Caenorhabditis elegans: one gene and its partners. The protein of the gene in region 1 interacts with the protein of each later gene in a pairwise test. Each region holds a gene or a part of one and is shown in the gene's direction. Other genes may lie near its edges.

Region 1 (4,024 bases):
TAAAGCGATGTTTTCAATGTTGGAAATAGTGGTTCTAACTACAAAATTTATTTCAGTGAAATGAAATTAAATAAATATTTGACTATTATTTATTGGCTTCTCTTCTCATCCGGATTCGACGATTTTGGAACCAAATCTTCACCTGTAATGTGCTACGTCTCGGAAAATTATTGAATGATAACAACTGATTTAAAAATTTTTTATTTTTTTCCTAGATTGATCTAATCACATCTTTACAACATACAATCGGATATGTTAGACTTAACGTAGAAGTTGCTGGAGCTCAGCCTGGTGGATAAATTTCGCAAACAATTTTAATAGAGAATAGATTTCTAAAAACAATAGAAACCTGATATTCATCTAGACTCAAAATCCTTGCCAATCTTTCCCTTTCATCACATCCAACATACTGACTTTGTGCAAAATACATTTCGAGTAAATATAGTTGTTCCACTGTAAATGTGGTTCTTCTACGTGGAATTCTGGAGGTTGAAGCTTCTGGTCTAACCATCATCAGTAAGAATGTAAAGACCATTTCGTGTTTCATATTTATGCCGTCAATTGTCAGTACAAGGGGCCGCCCGTTTTCGTTTCGTTTCGTTTAAATTATAGGGAATACATTATAAAATCACACCTTTTGTGTATATCTTCGTAGTTTTATTGGACATTTTAATAGGCCTTGTTTATAAAAGAAAATATAATAATGATGACATTATACAAAAAAGTATTCAAGGAATGTTTTATAGTTACAAAACCTATAGGTATACAGAATATGTCAAAATAGGGGAAAAAACTGAATGTATGCAGTCGACGAATAAGGTTGTCTTGACATTTTTTTGGTTAATAATGTTTTTCCTGCCAGTTTCGATATCTTTGAAATTTTGATCCAGATGACATCAATCCTAGCTATGGAATAATGGGGGAACTCTCTTTAAATTCACAACTTCATTCGAGCAAAATTTGTCTTTTGCACACGAAAAATTATTATTATTATTGCACAATCAAATATTTTTCCCCCGTGCAAGTGTGCAATGGGGCGACGGGTCGAGCCAGAAACCCGTGTTGTTGAAAATCAAACCAAGTGCAAAATATCCATTTTGCTTAATTTAAAACGATCTAGGATAACTCCACTAGCAACTAGAATATCTAATTGAAGGATTGAAATTTGGAAACTTACAATAAGGTATTCTATTTTATTACGTTTTCAATCTTGCTAGGAAAACTTGGAAAAAAAATCCATAAACGTTTCCCGGTTATTTCAGAAATCGATAGTCGACCTCCGTTGTTCCTTATCTAAATTTCATCAATTGTATCCTTTTTGATAAGACAATACTATCTTTTTATCACTACGTCTCCTTCACTCTAAATCCTAATGTAGTATCAATCAATTTGATGAAAAGACTACACTGGGGCCCACTTATTTTCTTTTTCAATCAAAATTCACACTTTATTTTATATATTTCTTGTAAATTGTATTTTTCTTCATTTTTAATTCTACTTTTTTTCAACAATTAACTCTCGAATTCTTCAATTTTTTACAGAATGAAAGGAGTTGTAGAAGGACAATGTGGACAGCAGAATGCTCTTGTCGGGTTAGCTAACACATTTGGAACATCCAATCAAAGAGTCGCTCCGAGTAATGGTAAGCTGGAAATATTCAAGTAAAAATTAACAAAAAAAAAAGTTTTTAGCTGCAGCTTCTCTTCTCCCATCTTCTTCTATGGGAGAACAAATGGCTAATGAATTTTTAAGACAACAAGCGAGAACAATGGCTCCAACAAGTTTCAGCATGAAGTCGATGCAGAATAATTTACCACAGGCATCAGCATCCTCAAGTTTGGCAGCAAATTGGACAAAGGAGTTTCAACCGCGACAGGTATTTCTAATGCATTCATATATTGGTATTTTCAATTGATTGCTTCAGAACCAGTTAGCGAGTCAATGGAGTCAACAATACACATCTAGTGCTCCAAGCATGGAATCTGCATGGCGTCAAGTTCAAGCTCCATCAATGACATCCACGTCATCACATCAACCAATAACAGATGCTGGTATGTGGTCATCTGAATATCTGGATACTGTGGATACTTCTTTAACCAAATCTTCTGGGACTCAAAACTGGGCTGATGATTTTATGGAGCAACAAGATAATTATGGAATGGAAAACACTTGGAAAGATGCACAGGCTTTTGAACAGAGATGGGAGGAAATTAAGAGAGATATGGAAAAGGACGAATCTCTTCAAAGTCCTGAAAACTATGTTTATCAGGTAAGATTTTTGTCTTCTTTAACACATTTTTATAACCCTCCTATTCAGGAAGCAAACCCTTTCACAACCATGTCAGATCCACTGATGGAAGGAGACAATCTAATGAGAAATGGAGATATTGGAAATGCCATGCTTGCCTATGAAGCAGCAGTTCAAAAAGATCCTCAGGATGCACGTGCCTGGTGTAAATTAGGATTGGCTCATGCTGAAAATGAAAAAGATCAGTTAGCAATGCAAGCGTTCCAAAAATGTTTGCAGATTGACGCTGGAAACAAGGAGGTAAAATTTGAGAAAAATATTTGATTATTTGATGCCATAAAATAGATAGGTCGCGATAAAATTCATATCTGTCTCTTAAAACTTTTTAAGAACAGAAATTAAGAAAAAAAAAAAAAAACTTCCAATAAAATCAAAATTATTTCAGGCACTTCTTGGTTTGTCTGTCAGTCAAGCGAACGAAGGAATGGAAAATGAAGCTTTACATCAATTGGATAAATGGATGTCTTCTTACTTGGTATTTCTTATTTTTATTTCAAGAATAATCCCACACGAATAAATATTTTAAGGGTTCAAACTCGACTCAAGTGACAACCACACCTCCACTCTACTCTTCATTTCTGGACAGTGACACTTTTAATCGAGTTGAGGCTAGATTCTTGGATGCTGCTCGGCAACAAGGAGCAACTCCAGATCCAGATCTTCAAAATGCTCTCGGAGTTTTATACAACTTGAATCGCAATTTTGCAAGAGCTGTCGACTCTCTCAAGTTGGCGATCTCCAAAAATCCAACTGATGCTCGTCTCTGGAATCGTCTTGGTGCTACGTTAGCCAATGGTGACCACACAGCTGAAGCCATTTCAGCATATCGAGAAGCTTTGAAATTGTATCCAACATATGTCAGAGCAAGATACAATTTGGGAATATCTTGTATGCAATTATCATCTTATGATGAAGCTTTGAAACATTTTTTATCTGCATTAGAATTGCAAAAAGGAGGAAATGATGCATCTGGTATTTGGACAACTATGAGGTTAGTTTATAGCTTTATATGTTAAAATCACCTTCACAAATTTCAGATCAGCAGCAATCCGAACATCGAATGTCCCTGACAATTTACTGAGAGCAGTGGAAAGACGAGATTTGGCAGCTGTAAAAGCCTCTCTAGTCTAGAATAATTACAATTTAAATACTAAAATAAATAATTATTTTTCCTCGAATTTTTTTACTTGGTTTTCAAACTTTCATTTTGAAAATCTCAATTTCAAGCCGATCACGAGTTTGGAAGGGTCATAAAATGTTATTACAGCGGTAAGAAAGCAGGAAGTAAACCGACCTAGCACAAAAAGTGTTCAGCTCATTTTGTTTTGTTTGTAGAACTCACATTGTTAGAGCTCAATGAAATGATTGAATAATGCCTAAATTAAAATAACATTCTTCAAGACTTCTAGACACTAAGTAATCAAATCCTATCATTTCTCTTACGGTGAATTTCTACAAAATGCTCAGAAATTCCACATGAGTCACCGTTCCATGAGTAAAACCTCGGAACATATGACTGATTCTATTTATTATCATCTTTCCGCCACCCTCTTCCAAACGTCTCACTCTTTTCTATTTGCCGGTCATCGAACACATTCTTCCTTTTCTCTTTCTGTCTTTGAAGCACATGACATGGCCATTTATCATGAAAAGGTACAGCTGGTTGAAGAAGAAGAAGATCCGAGAGAAACAGCTCCAATTGAGAGGAGCACAGTC
Region 2 (3,768 bases), on another chromosome or scaffold:
ATTCCAATATTTTGAGAATATTCGTTGGAAAAACGGCGAAAATCAAGAAAAACTCGAATTTTTGACCTCCAGAAACTCACATCGGAATCAACTTTTCTGTAGACGGAGAGAGTGTTGGCGTTGACATGTCATAACAATAAGGAATGTAGTTTTATTCGATAAAAAAAAGGTCTCACGCTTTGGAAAATTCGAGAACAAAGAAAAGTTCATAAAAATATAAAATACACGTGAAATTAAAAAAAATTAATTGCTCTATCACCAATCGTTATTCATATCACCGAAATCTTCCATAAGAGCATCTTCGTCAGCAGCTTCCTTGGCTTCCTGTTCCTCTCGCAGCCGCTCTTCCTCCATCATTCGATACTCTTCCTCGACATTTTCATCAATTTCAGCGGTTTTTTGGTCGGATTTTTCAGAATTTTTAGCTTTTTCAGTCGTGACTTCTGAAATTGAAAGATTTTTTGATTTTCTAATAACAAGTTTGGATAAATTTTGCAACCTTTCTCTGGTAAATCCTTGAATAAATCATCGTCATTATCACTCGCTCCATCATCAATAATTCCATTCTTTTGATTCTCCTGCTCCTCGTGCTCAGAATCCTCGCCAGTCTCTCCAAGCCGGTGCTTGATCATGAAAACTTTAACCTGCCGCCGTGTTCCCAGTGTCTCGACTCGATTCAGAACATCTTCGGTTTTCATCTTCGGAAACATCAAATGTCCCCAGTATGCGTATTTTTTCATCAATTTCTCCAGATTTGCGTACTGAAAAGGGAAAATTATTGTATTTTTTAACTTTCAAATTTACCGGATCATCCTTGGGATTTGGCTTGAAATCTTTTAAAGTCTCCCGAAGAGCTGAAATTCCTTTCGGCCCGGTCAAAATTCGCTCATTCAGTGCTAGGCGTGGATTCTAAAGTTTGAAAAAATTTAAATAAATCATAGAAAATAAGCGTTTTACTGCTAGTCTTTTAGTCCTTAACAATTTCGGCTCCACGACTCGTCTAGTGCCTCCCTCGCCGCTGTTATCTGAACAAAACTTTAATTAAAACCCGATTTCTCACACGAAATTCTAGATACCTTCGATTGCTTCGTCTCCCATAGGGCTTGGCTCTCGATCCAATTCATCATTTTCGAAGAAATCTTCCATTTCGTCCATTTTTCTGGAAAAAAAGTTGATTTTCGATCGAAATTTCTAGGTTTTCGTGCAGAAAACGAAAAAAAATGCAAAAATCTTAGCGTTTAAAAAACTATTTTCAAACAACGCGCCGACAAAATCGGCTGAATCGCGTCGAGACCCGATCGATTAAATGCGTGCGCCTTTAAAGAAAGTCAGCATTCTCTTTGTGTTCTTGGCTAGAAAAAGTGTTCCAGTCCATTTATTATCTGAATTTTCTGATTTAAACGCATTTCTTAAGGTTTTTTATTAATTAAACCACTTTATTGTTAATATATCACTGTTTTGAACAGCTTATTTCGTAAAAAATCCCAAAATTCTTCTGGAAAATGAGAAAAAATCTAGTTTTTCGCCAAATTGTCGCATTTCTTTCCAGAATAACAATGTCGATCGCCCAACAACTCATGGATATGGGCTTCCCAGCCGACAAAGCCGAGGCCGCCGCCGGAAACAACAGAAATCTCGATCAGGCGTTGGATTGGATTGAGAAGGACGGAGCCGGTGTACCAATGGAGACAGATGCTCCAGCTCAAGCTGCTCCAGGAGCCGCTGACAGTGGTGCACCCCCGGTAGCCGCCAGTTTTAAGTGTGATGAGTGAGTTTTTCCCCCCTACGATTCTTATTAATTATTTCTCCAAATTTTTTTTTCCAGCTGCGGAAAGCTTCTCGCCAACGATGATGCTATCATGTTCCACGCTTCGAAGACAAAGCACGAGAATTTCAGCGAAAGCTCGGAAGCTATCAAGCCTCTCACTGCAGAGGAAAAGGCCGCAAAAGTCCTGGAAATCCGAGAAAAAATCAAAGTCCATCAGGCCAAAAAGGCAAAGCTCGAGGCCGAAGAGAATCGTGAGAAGGAGAAAAAGCGTCGTGAGGATGGAAAAGCCATGATCAGCCATAAAGAAGCCGCCAGAGATCGTGAAATTCGGTTAGAAAACTGTTTTCCATTGAATTTAAATAATAATATTCCCAATTTGCAGAGAAGCCGCTCAAGATCGTCGCCGCGAAAAGAACGAAGACGAAATCGCCAGAAAACGAGTTCTCGAGCAAATCCGGCTTGACAAGGAAGCCCGTAAGGCAAAAGCTTCAGGCCAACCGGTTCCAGAGGCAAAGCCTGCTCCGTCTGCAGCTCCAGTTGCTCCGCCAAAAGACTACTCAACTACAACTCTTCAATTCCGACTTCTCGATGGACAAACTGTTAGACAACAGTTTGAAGCTAATGAGCCGGTAATTTAAATATTCTCGACTCCCTTGAATTAATTTTTCAGCTCGCAATGGTCCGCGCCTGGGTCGAAACTAATCACGCAAACGGTGTTCCGTTCACCCTGATGACCCCATTCCCCCGCAAAGTGTTCACCGAGGATGATATGGGAACACCGCTCAAAGTTCTCAGTGAGTTTTGCTCAAAAAGGCCGGATTTCATGATGAAACTTGGAAATTTTCGAAAAAAAAAGTGGACGATTTTCAGCTATTTCGCCAACTTTTCCTGTTCACAGCTGCCGGAAATTTATTTTTATTCGATTTTTGTCCTTCTTCAGCAAAAAGACTCAATTTAACTGAAGAATCTGAAAAAGTGCTCAAAAATGGCCTAGAAGTCACGAATTGTCAATTGTAAGGCAATTTTTGAGCACTTTCGAATTTTTCAGTTAAATTAAGTATTATTTTCAGAAAAATCAACTGATTTTCTATATTTTGACACTAATTTTTAAATATTGGAGCAGTATGGTGCAATTTGACTTTAAATGTGCCTAAATCAACGAAAAAAACGCTAAAATATATAGATTTCTGCTGTAATTGGGCCATTTTTTCGAAAAAAATAAATAAAAATTTGAAAAGTTTCGTTATGAATTTTGGTTTTTTGAGACCAAAAAAATGTTCATTCTCTAATTTTTTTTTAAAATTTTCAGATTTGGTACCATCCGCCAACGTCATTCTCAACCGTGCCGCCTGAATCTTCAAAACTAAATTCCCACAATTTACTGCTAATTTTCTCTCCCCCCTCTCCCGAATGCTGGTATCACTTGTAAACTAAACATGTATATTGAGCATGTATAAAAATTTTCCGATAAACTTTTTTCCCCTCCATATATCTCGAGGCTCTTCATCTCCTCGTGATCTTCGAATTCCCGTCAGTTTTGCTCTCCGAGCTCTTGCCACAGATTTCTGACAAGCTGCAGGACAATCATATCTCCAGAGTGATTGGAAGCATTAGAACCTGGAAGATATTGGAATAAAAACCTGCGTACTGCACAACATATTTGACGCGCAAAATATCTCGCAGCGAAAACTGCAGTAATTCTTTAAATGATTACTGTAGGTCGATTTACGGGCTCAGATTTTCTTTTCGATTTAATTTAAGAGGCCCCACCAAAACGGAATGCAACTCAAAACAGGATACAGGGGCGGAGCCTATTTCGCAACCACCGCATGCTTTTTCCGCAAGCCTCGCACGTTTTTTCTCTTTAAAAAATGCAACAACATCAAGGAAAAAACGTGCGAGGCTTGCGGGAAAAGCATGCGCGGTTGTTGCGAAATAGGCTCCGCCCTTGCATCCTGTTTTGGTGAATCCTGTTTTGAGTTGCATTCTGTTTTGGTGGG
Region 3 (2,942 bases), on another chromosome or scaffold:
AATCAGTCAAATAACGAGAATAAATAAGATTAAATTTTAAAAATAATGCAAGCGCGCCCCGTCGAACAAACTTAATTGGCGGTAATTCAAATAGTGAAAACTGAGATTTTTGGTGGCCCTATAAGAGCTCTTATAAGAGTATTTTAAAGCAATTTCCCCATTGACGATACTCCATCCTTAAACAAAAAAAGAAAGTAAAAGAATAATTATTAGAGAATTTATTGAATTTTACAGAACAAATACAAGTGAAGATTATTAACAATATCGATCAGATTTCATTTTCATCCGTCTGTCCAGCAGCAGCTCGTGTGCACTTCCGTCGGCCTGCGCTTTCTTAACTCCTTTCTTGTCCTTCACGTCAATCGCAATATGTCGGTTCTTGAGATCAACCTTCGAGTGCTGATACATCTTCACGTAGGCCGTCTCACACTCCCGAGCGTTTTTGCGGTCTTCCACAGATCTCCAATCGACTGGGCCTTCTTGTATAGCGTCTGTACGGATCTGGAAATTGAATTTAATCGGATTTTATCTATTTATATCTAAATTAGCACTTACATTAACCATTTCATTCTCCGTAGCGGTTCTACTAGCCACATAAATATGCCCCTCTTTATTTGGAACTGTAGAGAGGAAAAGTGGTGAGGAGACGGCTTGGAACGCGGTTTTTCCCTCCTGGAAAACCAACACGAATTGCTCGCGGGATCCAATAGCTTCAGCCATGGCAACCAATTGATATTCGCTGTCCACTCCAACATATCTTCCGAATCCTGTCTTCAAACTGATTTTACTATCGTCTGGAGTTTTGACGAGCGCGAAAATTTCCTCAGGATTCGGGCCTTCTCCCTCCGGATGTGGAAATCCAATTGTGAATTTTCCGTTGTCCATTGCAGCGACATAAGTTCGCGTTGAGCCGGCTCCACTGGCAACTTCGATGGCGACGTTGGTTCCTCCTTTCATATCGAATTCATCGGCAATTTTGCGCCAACCACCATTTTCGACGGTGTCTGGATCGATTTTCTCCTTGTCGTCTTTGTTCTTCTTCTTTTTCTCCTTTCCCACTTTGAATCTGCAACGAGTGAATTAATGGAGGATTTTATACACTTTAAACTTGAATATGTCACTTACAAATTCTTTTTTCCGGCTTTTAATTTCAATCCACCACCTTTTACAGCACTGTAGTCAGCGCCTGGCATTTTTTGAAGTTTTCTGCAATAAAAAACAAAATTTTCATCAATAAAACTGTAAATTTCATAACAAAACTCGAAGAAATCAATAAAAAAACGTTCGAAAAACGTTTGAAACAAAAAAATAATATTCGAATTCTTCTCCCCCTTCCCGTAAATCCTGCAGCTCTCTACCGTACTTTCGCCGTCTCTCAATTTCGCGGCGAGACCCATCACCACGGCAATCCTCCATTTGTGTCGCTGGGCCTAAATTTTTTCCGTTTTTTTGCTCGATTTTCGCCGTTTCTCTGCGAAATTTTTCCAAATTTCTGTTCAATTTAATCAAAATATTGTTCTGGACGCTTGTTCAGCATAGAAAGTGGAGATTCTGTTGTATTTTAAGCTTGGAAAACGAATTTATTATGAAATTTCATTTTTTTGCTAAATAATTTCTCTATTCTTGAATTTTTACAGCTTTTTAACGCAAAATATTCTTTCCTCTTTGTTCTAAATGGGTAGTTACACACATTATGCGGTCTATAACGTCTTTTGTCACCTTTGAAACTAGTCTCTAAAGAAAAATCAATAATTTTTGCCCCTACGCTCTCCTCCAAATGTTTCGCTCTCGCCGTCATTTTCTGACAATTTTACTCGGTTTCTTTTCAAATTATATAATTTCAGTCATGCAAATCTTCGTCAAGACTCTGACGGGTAAGACTATTACCCTCGAAGTCGAGGCTTCCGATACCATTGAGAATGTCAAGGCCAAGATCCAAGACAAGGAGGGAATCCCACCAGATCAGCAAAGATTGATCTTCGCCGGTACGTTATTATTCAGACCTGATATATTCTTGAATTAATTTCCGGGCAAAACACCCAATATAATTTTCTAATTTCAGGAAAGCAACTCGAGGATGGACGTACTCTCTCCGACTACAACATCCAAAAGGAGTCTACTCTCCACTTGGTGCTCCGTCTTCGTGGAGGTTAGTTTTTTTCTAATGTTCAGGCATTGAGAAATATTTCTAAATTCAGGAATCATCGAGCCATCTCTCCGTCAGCTCGCCCAGAAGTACAACTGCGACAAGCAGATCTGCAGAAAGTGCTATGCTCGTCTCCCACCACGTGCCAGCAACTGCAGAAAGAAGAAGTGCGGACACTCCAGCGAGCTCCGCATCAAGAAGAAGCTGAAGTAATCTTCACTCGTTCCAGTCCATGTGTTGGCAAATAAATCGTTAATTTTAATTGAATGTCGCTATTTGTGCAAAACGTAAATTTCGTAAATATTGGATTTTTGGAATGAGATTTGTACATGGTAACAAAGAATCATTATAAAATACAGATGCTCAAATCAATACTTCGGGGAGCTCTAGTAGCTACAAAGCCGGGTCCAGCCAGGCGCCAGTTCTCATTCACAGCACTTCTGCGGAGCGAGACCCAGCCCAAAGAGATAATTAATCTGGAACGGGTTCAAGTTAGAAAGATGAAGAAGAGACGCCCAGTTGCTTCATCGGTTGTTCCAAAATCCCTACGAGAACCTTCAGTCGTCGCCATGGCACTTTCAGAATCACTGAACCTCAATGAGGTCATCATGGATGCACAGCTCAATGGAATGTATAATATAACTGCAATCGACGAGGACGCGGATGACAGCTTGCACTTTGTCAAAAAACTGGAATATACCATCAATCCAGGCGAACTCAGTGAAATTTTCGTGTTTCGAGATGGAGTTGTCGTTTTTTGGAACGTTGATTCTAGTCAGCGATCGCATATTCTACG
Region 4 (5,918 bases), 4.3 Mb from region 1:
CTTGTCCATTTGTTCTCTCTCCTCCAACTTTTTCACTTTTGCCTCTTCCAGTGTCTGCACCAATTCTCGTCCCAATAACAACTTTTGCGGGATGTGATGTTGAATGTTACCTCGATCGAAGAACAATGGTTCATCAGCCTGAAAATGGAGTAGTTAGTTGACCCTTATGACGGCTACTTTTTTCTCTCTTGTAGACTCATGTGAAAAGAAATACAGGGAGTAAGTAAAAATAGAAACAAGCAAGACCTTTGATCAAAAAGTTTGAAACAATTTGTTGATAAGAGAAAGTCAGACAGATAAGCAAAACAGTGGCAAATATTCAGGTGATTTATTTAAAGTGATATGTTTTCGTTTCAAATGGGAAAATATCTTGTGATTCTGAAACTACACAGAGAAAAATTGAAAGTGTGAAAAAATAGAACTATCTATGAAAAATATCCAATTTTGGAAATTGTTTGAATATTTGAAATTCTGATTATGTGGTGAATTATTTTAAACAACCATTTTTAAAATCACTTTCTTGAGGGAAATTATTATTGATAAAAATCTTTTTTTTTTCGAAAAAATCGAAAATTTTGCAATCAAAAATTTTCAAGTTTTCTAAATTTGTTTCTAAATTTTTCTGATGCTTTGGAAAATGGCTAGTTTTGTCTGAATTGACCGTTTTAGCATTAAAACAAATATTTCAAATTATTTTGGTCGATCCAGGCACTTCTATTCACTTTTCGAGGCTACAGAAAACAATGCCCAAAAATGTGGCTGGAAATTTAAAAAGTTAAAAAAATCCAGTTTTTAATGAAATTAAATTTAAATTAAAAAAAAAACGATACTTGTGGTTTATAATCATTAATTTTAAAACAAATTTGTTTTTCAGAAGTTTGAAAAAAAAAATTGGAAATCATTTTGATCTACTATTTTGCCAATTTTCCCTATTAGCCTTGCGCCGACATTGCTCCACTTTGACGACTTATGTCTTGGTTCACTTAGATTTTAACAAAAAATGATAAACTAATAAAATGTAGAGAATTATTTTGGGAGTACTTTGCCAGTTAATAATTTTTGATAAAATCAAAAAGAGCTGAGATATACGCTGTCAAAGTAAAGGAAAGTGCCTGGAAGTCTAGTAGAAAAAATACAATGAATGAAAGGTGACTAAAAGTCGCTGGAAAGTCAAAAAATATGGTCAAGTTAAGGATTAAAAAATCGCAAAATTTTCAGAATAATTCCAGATTACTGTAACGGGAGTACTGTGTACAACAAAAAGAAGCACAAACCTTCTGATTCCTGCTGAAATGTGCCGTCTCATTTTGCGAGTAATGCTCGATGGCTCCTCCCTGTAAAAAGTTGTGTGTAATTTTGTGTTGTAATACAAATATTCTCCAATCGTCGTCGTGTTCTCCCTTTCGATTTTTCGTTTATTTACAAAATATAAAAAGTAAGAGATGATCAGATTGGATGTTTCTGTTTCCCTTTTACCAGTGAATCAGCACCAGAAAATGTCAGGAGCACACAGGGGGGAGAAGGAGACAGTGTGCACAATCTTCTTCCATTTCTTTCCCTCCACCCACACCTCCGTCTTCACAGTTCCGAGACCCCGCCCTCACTCTTAGCTTCTGCATAATCCGTTGTCTCATTTGACACCCCCTACCATAAAAAAATACAATAATCATGACTCGCCATCAAACACATCTTCCATTTCATATTGTGTAAGTTATGTATTTATTTATTTTATTTATTTATTATTGTTTTTAGAGAGGGAGAGAGAGAGGGGAAACATATTTTCTTTTTCTTCTTCTCTAAATACAAAATCCCCGTTGCAAAATTCTGTTAGAGGCAAAGTTTTGAAAATAAAAGAGCTCTTTCCAGTCAAGAGGGAAATTCGATTGACAAGCCGCCATACAGTTACGTTGCACTTATTGCAATGGCAATCGATGCTTCGCCGGATAAGAGAATGACGTTGAATCAGATTTACAAGGTAACGGGAAGCTTTTCGATAACGTTTTTTTGGTATAGCGGTTTTGGAGGAATTATCATGAAAATTTTGCTAAAACTAAATACTTTTTTGCGGAAAAATACCATTTTAAAAACCCAAAACTGGTGCGGCAATTCAAATTTTGAAGAATTTTTGAGCAAATTTTTCACAATGTTAGCGGAATATTCCAGTTTTTTTTGGACGTCATATTGAGTATTAAAATATGTGCTAGAACTTTCAGTTATTCCTGCAAAAATAGATCTACGAAATTCAATTCCAAAACTTTAAAAATTACTTTTTTTCTGAGAATTTTTATCTCACTTTACACTAACTTCGAGGCTGCTGAAATTGTTCCAAATCCGATTTTTATCTTCTTTTAAGTTTTTCAGGTATAGGCAAACGTTTGAAAGATTTTTTTGTAAATTTCAATTATTTGAAAACTTGAATCATCGGAGTCTATTTAGTCATATAAAACTGATCAAGCCGAGCCATTTAATGAAACATTTTCTAGTTCAAAATGCTCCTTTGAAGCGAAAAATTTGGCGATCATCTTGTAATGACATATACTTCATTTAAAAATCCAGAAAAATATTCGTCACTTCTCCGGAGATTCTCCCTATATTTTTTGTACTTTAAATTGTTTTGAAATTACTAGAAAAGCCTCAAAATATCTGTTATTTTGGAGATTTTCTAACACGATTATATAGCAGTAAAATTAATCTGCTCCTTATTGCTACAAAAAAAACGAAATTCGAAAAAAAGTTCTTAAGGTTCTACATCATCTTTCCCATATCACATTTTCGTACAGTAAGTTTCATACATTGATATTTTTGTTGTGATATTCAGTTGGTTGCTTTTTTTTTCCACCTAGCCCTGCCCTACCGTAACCCTGTCACAAGTGATCTAGTAATGTTCAGTTCAATCTAACTCTGGAAAACCCAACTCACTAGCCAGCACATCTACCGTAACCCACCACTTCCACTCTTCCGTTTTGACTCATCAACCTTAATAGATCTGACTAATTTGGTGTGGGGGGCACCCTGTGCCTCTCCCATAACATTTACACAGTGAACAACTTTTCCTCTCTCCTACAAGTCAATAACAATGTCAATATATATATATATAGACCTTCTTCGTGTCAAGACCCAAAAACCTTAGTATTCAACTTTGACAGTTAATATCTCAGCTCTCGTTTGTCCTAAACAAAAATTGTCTACCAGCCAAATATTTTTTGGTTATTTTTCTATAGGTTTGTAGTTGATCATTCATTGATATCTTTATTATGAACCGAGATATAACCTTTCAAAGTATGTTAGTTTCCTATCAGGCGCAAACAAAACCGATGATGTGTGTTTCAGTTCATCGAGGCCAAATTCCCATATTACCGTGACGCGGACGCGAAACGAAAACAGGGATGGCAGAACAGTATTCGACACAATCTGTCACTCAACGACTGCTTTGTCAAAAAAGCACGAGACGGACAAAGCTGCGCGAACGACAGAAAGGGCAACTATTGGCAAATGGTGGCGGACAATGCGCCTCAGTTTGACAACGGCAACTTTAAGAGAAGGTATGGATAGTGACAAGAGGATTATTATTATTATACACTCGTGAAAAATGACTATTTGTTCATGTATTTACAGACGTGTCAAAAGACTTGGAATCGGAAAAATGGGTTATGCGAATACGACGGAAACTACTGAAACAGGGACCATTCTACAGCAACAGCTTCCGTTTTTCAACGGGTTGAAGTGGCCACAGAATATTCAAACTATGGATCCTTTCCAGTTTTTTAAGGTAAATAATTGCCCAGTGAAGATTTTCGGGAATCTGAACGCTAACGCCCCATGAAAAATTCGAACAGGCAACAAATTTACGAAATTGTACTAAAAATATTGGTGAATCTGTAGTAAGCTTATCGTTTAGCCCCAGAGTCCTTACTAGTTAGTTGTGAAATTTTCGTTACAACTCTTATAAAATGAAGCAAAGTTGCTTTATATTCCCAATTAAAAATAATTTTATTAATAATTGTTTTTCCAAAAAAAACTTTCATGAAAATACTCAAAACTCCGAGGAAACTGTGCCAATCTCAAAAAGATCTTAAAGAAATTAGCGAACTGTGCAAATATTTCACAAAGACAACTATGCCTGCTTGTAAATTTTAGATCATAGGCAGGCATAGGCAGAAAAATATAAAGTAGGTAAGTACGCCTGAAGGCGTGCCTGCCTACCAAAAAAGCCCAAAAAGTGGACTCCATGCCTTGGTCTACTTTGACAGCTTATATCTTGACTCCCTTTGTTGTTATCAAAAATTGTCAGTTGACAAAATATGGGCAAAATATTTCTCTACATTTAAATAATGACAATTATTTGATAAAATTTCAGGCAACCATGATATAAGCGGTCAAAATAGAGCACAATCGGGGTGCAGATCTAACACTTTCAATTTTTCAGTTCCAATACCCCAACTCCATCACTGATAGTGCCAACACCTCCCAAATCAACAACTCCTCTTCCTCATCGTCATCATTTGATACCTCAATTTACACAAGCGCCTTCCCAATTCCAACTTCTCATTTCGACACAAATCTAGTGGCTCCATCTCAACCACCACCAGTTGTGTCTGATGTAGAAGTTGTACCATCGGATACTGTCAAAGAGGAGGTTCTAGTTGATATGAAGCCATTGATCCCTGGGATTTCAAGTACAACATTCTTGACAAGTCTTCAGATGACTGATCCGAGGAGTATCGAGCAACAGGTTAGTTGAAATTTTCAAAAAATGTTTTAAATAAAGTTTATGCTACTTTTTTTTTAACTCTTGCAGCTTAATGGAGAAATTTTGAAGTCGGTAAAAATTATGCTATCTCCACTTTTTCTCCTATCTCCACTTTTTCTAAATTTTAGAATTTTCATAACTAATCAAAAACCCTCCTAAAACTTATTCCAGCAACTGCTCTCCACTGCAAGCAACATGTACCCAAACGCCTTCATGCCCCCTTATACCAATTGGTCCTGTCAACCAACAACCACTTTCACGGGATTATCATTTGATGACCCATCTCTCTATGGTTATGGACAACAATTCCCAGCTTCATCTTAACTTACCCCTGTCAACTGCCTGATCCTCGTTTCGCACTGTTTCAGTTCCTCCTGGAATAAATTTTTTGAAATATTTTGGTAATTAATTTCAGATTACCTTCAAGCTAGAATTTTCATCCGAATAATTATTCTTCACCTTCTCCTCCAAACCTTCAATTTTCTCTTTGAGACCCGCAATTTCTTGTTCATATTTTTCGATTGTTTTCTTCGAATTTTCATCGTTTTTATTGTTTTCTTTTTTTTGCTCTTTTGGCTCTTCTTTTAAAGTCTATAAAACATGAATTATGGTTTTAAAAAAATTTCAAATCTTACCTGACAATCCGTCAACTCCTTCTGGCACGTTTCTTGTTTTGTCTTCAACCCGTAAATTTCTGACTCTTTTAATTTAATTTTGCTTAAAAATTTGGTTGATTCGGCGTGGCGGGATTGTAATTCAGCCTCGATCTTCTTTTTGTGCAGCCAGATTACTGAAAGAAAAAAACAGTGATTTGACTTTTAAAGTGTTTTTTTTTCAGTTTTTTTTTAATGGCAGATCTACTCAATTTGGAGGGTTTTTCGAAGAAAAAAAATCACCGATATCAATTTTATTTATAAACTTAAGTTTATAGTACTTATTATTTCAAAAACTAATATTAATCGGAATTTAAAATTTACCAAATAAAAGTTGGCAAGAAAATCTAAGTCTCTGAGAACAAAATTTTGGTAAAATTTTGTCCAAAAAATTTGTAGTCTAAATTTGTAGTAAGTTCAAATTTTTTGAGATCAAACTGTGACCAATAATTAATTTTTTTCGAGAAAATTTTTCTGCGAGAAATTTAAAAAATCTGATTGAAATAGTTTTAGCG

What was found.
Region 2: the proteins of prx-5 (region 1) and ubxn-1 interact in a two-hybrid assay, tested with the Caenorhabditis elegans proteins (one large-scale study listed by BioGRID).
Region 3: the proteins of prx-5 (region 1) and ubq-2 interact in a two-hybrid assay, tested with the Caenorhabditis elegans proteins (one large-scale study listed by BioGRID).
Region 4: the proteins of prx-5 (region 1) and fkh-6 interact in a two-hybrid assay, tested with the Caenorhabditis elegans proteins (one large-scale study listed by BioGRID).

Annotation. Positions count from the first base shown.
Region 1 is NC_003280.10:8,703,283-8,707,306, forward strand, and holds prx-5 (TPR_REGION domain-containing protein), read left to right. Parts: upstream 1-1,541; 5' UTR 1,542-1,542; coding exon 1,543-1,642; intron 1,643-1,691; coding exon 1,692-1,876; intron 1,877-1,924; coding exon 1,925-2,269; intron 2,270-2,317; coding exon 2,318-2,548; intron 2,549-2,693; coding exon 2,694-2,783; intron 2,784-2,835; coding exon 2,836-3,299; intron 3,300-3,345; coding exon 3,346-3,439; 3' UTR 3,440-3,478; downstream 3,479-4,024. Other genes in the region: Homeobox protein ceh-7, read right to left, coding at 86-142, 350-547.
Region 2 is NC_003279.8:2,432,455-2,436,222, forward strand, and holds ubxn-1 (UBX domain-containing protein 1), read left to right. Parts: upstream 1-1,547; 5' UTR 1,548-1,556; coding exon 1,557-1,768; intron 1,769-1,825; coding exon 1,826-2,098; intron 2,099-2,150; coding exon 2,151-2,397; intron 2,398-2,438; coding exon 2,439-2,562; intron 2,563-3,077; coding exon 3,078-3,121; 3' UTR 3,122-3,237; downstream 3,238-3,768. Other genes in the region: F23C8.8 (Protein kinase domain-containing protein), read right to left, coding at 81-127; tipn-1 (Protein TIPIN homolog), read right to left, coding at 256-443, 500-761, 805-909, 958-1,025, 1,077-1,155. UniProt on the Caenorhabditis elegans protein: Ubiquitin-binding protein which acts as an adapter for ATPase cdc-48.1 and/or cdc-48.2, conferring substrate specificity.
Region 3 is NC_003281.10:12,977,426-12,980,367, reverse strand, and holds ubq-2 (Ubiquitin), read left to right. Parts: upstream 1-1,844; 5' UTR 1,845-1,846; coding exon 1,847-1,985; intron 1,986-2,062; coding exon 2,063-2,149; intron 2,150-2,198; coding exon 2,199-2,359; 3' UTR 2,360-2,405; downstream 2,406-2,942. Other genes in the region: frg-1 (Protein FRG1 homolog), read right to left, coding at 256-501, 556-1,066, 1,126-1,193; ZK1010.2 (DUF155 domain-containing protein), read left to right, coding at 2,506-2,942.
Region 4 is NC_003280.10:4,379,039-4,384,956, reverse strand, and holds fkh-6 (Forkhead transcription factor fkh-6), read left to right. Parts: upstream 1-1,550; 5' UTR 1,551-1,668; coding exon 1,669-1,706; intron 1,707-1,866; coding exon 1,867-1,975; intron 1,976-3,330; coding exon 3,331-3,542; intron 3,543-3,615; coding exon 3,616-3,769; intron 3,770-4,426; coding exon 4,427-4,732; intron 4,733-4,921; coding exon 4,922-5,074; 3' UTR 5,075-5,079; coding exon of another isoform or gene 5,080-5,124; 3' UTR 5,125-5,170; coding exon of another isoform or gene 5,171-5,341; 3' UTR 5,342-5,372; downstream 5,373-5,918. Other genes in the region: B0286.1 (uncharacterized protein), read right to left, coding at 1-138, 1,275-1,334, 5,080-5,124, 5,171-5,341, 5,386-5,540. UniProt on the Caenorhabditis elegans protein: Probable transcription factor. Binds to the DNA sequence motif 5'-[TA]TGTT[TG]T[TG][ATG]TT-3'.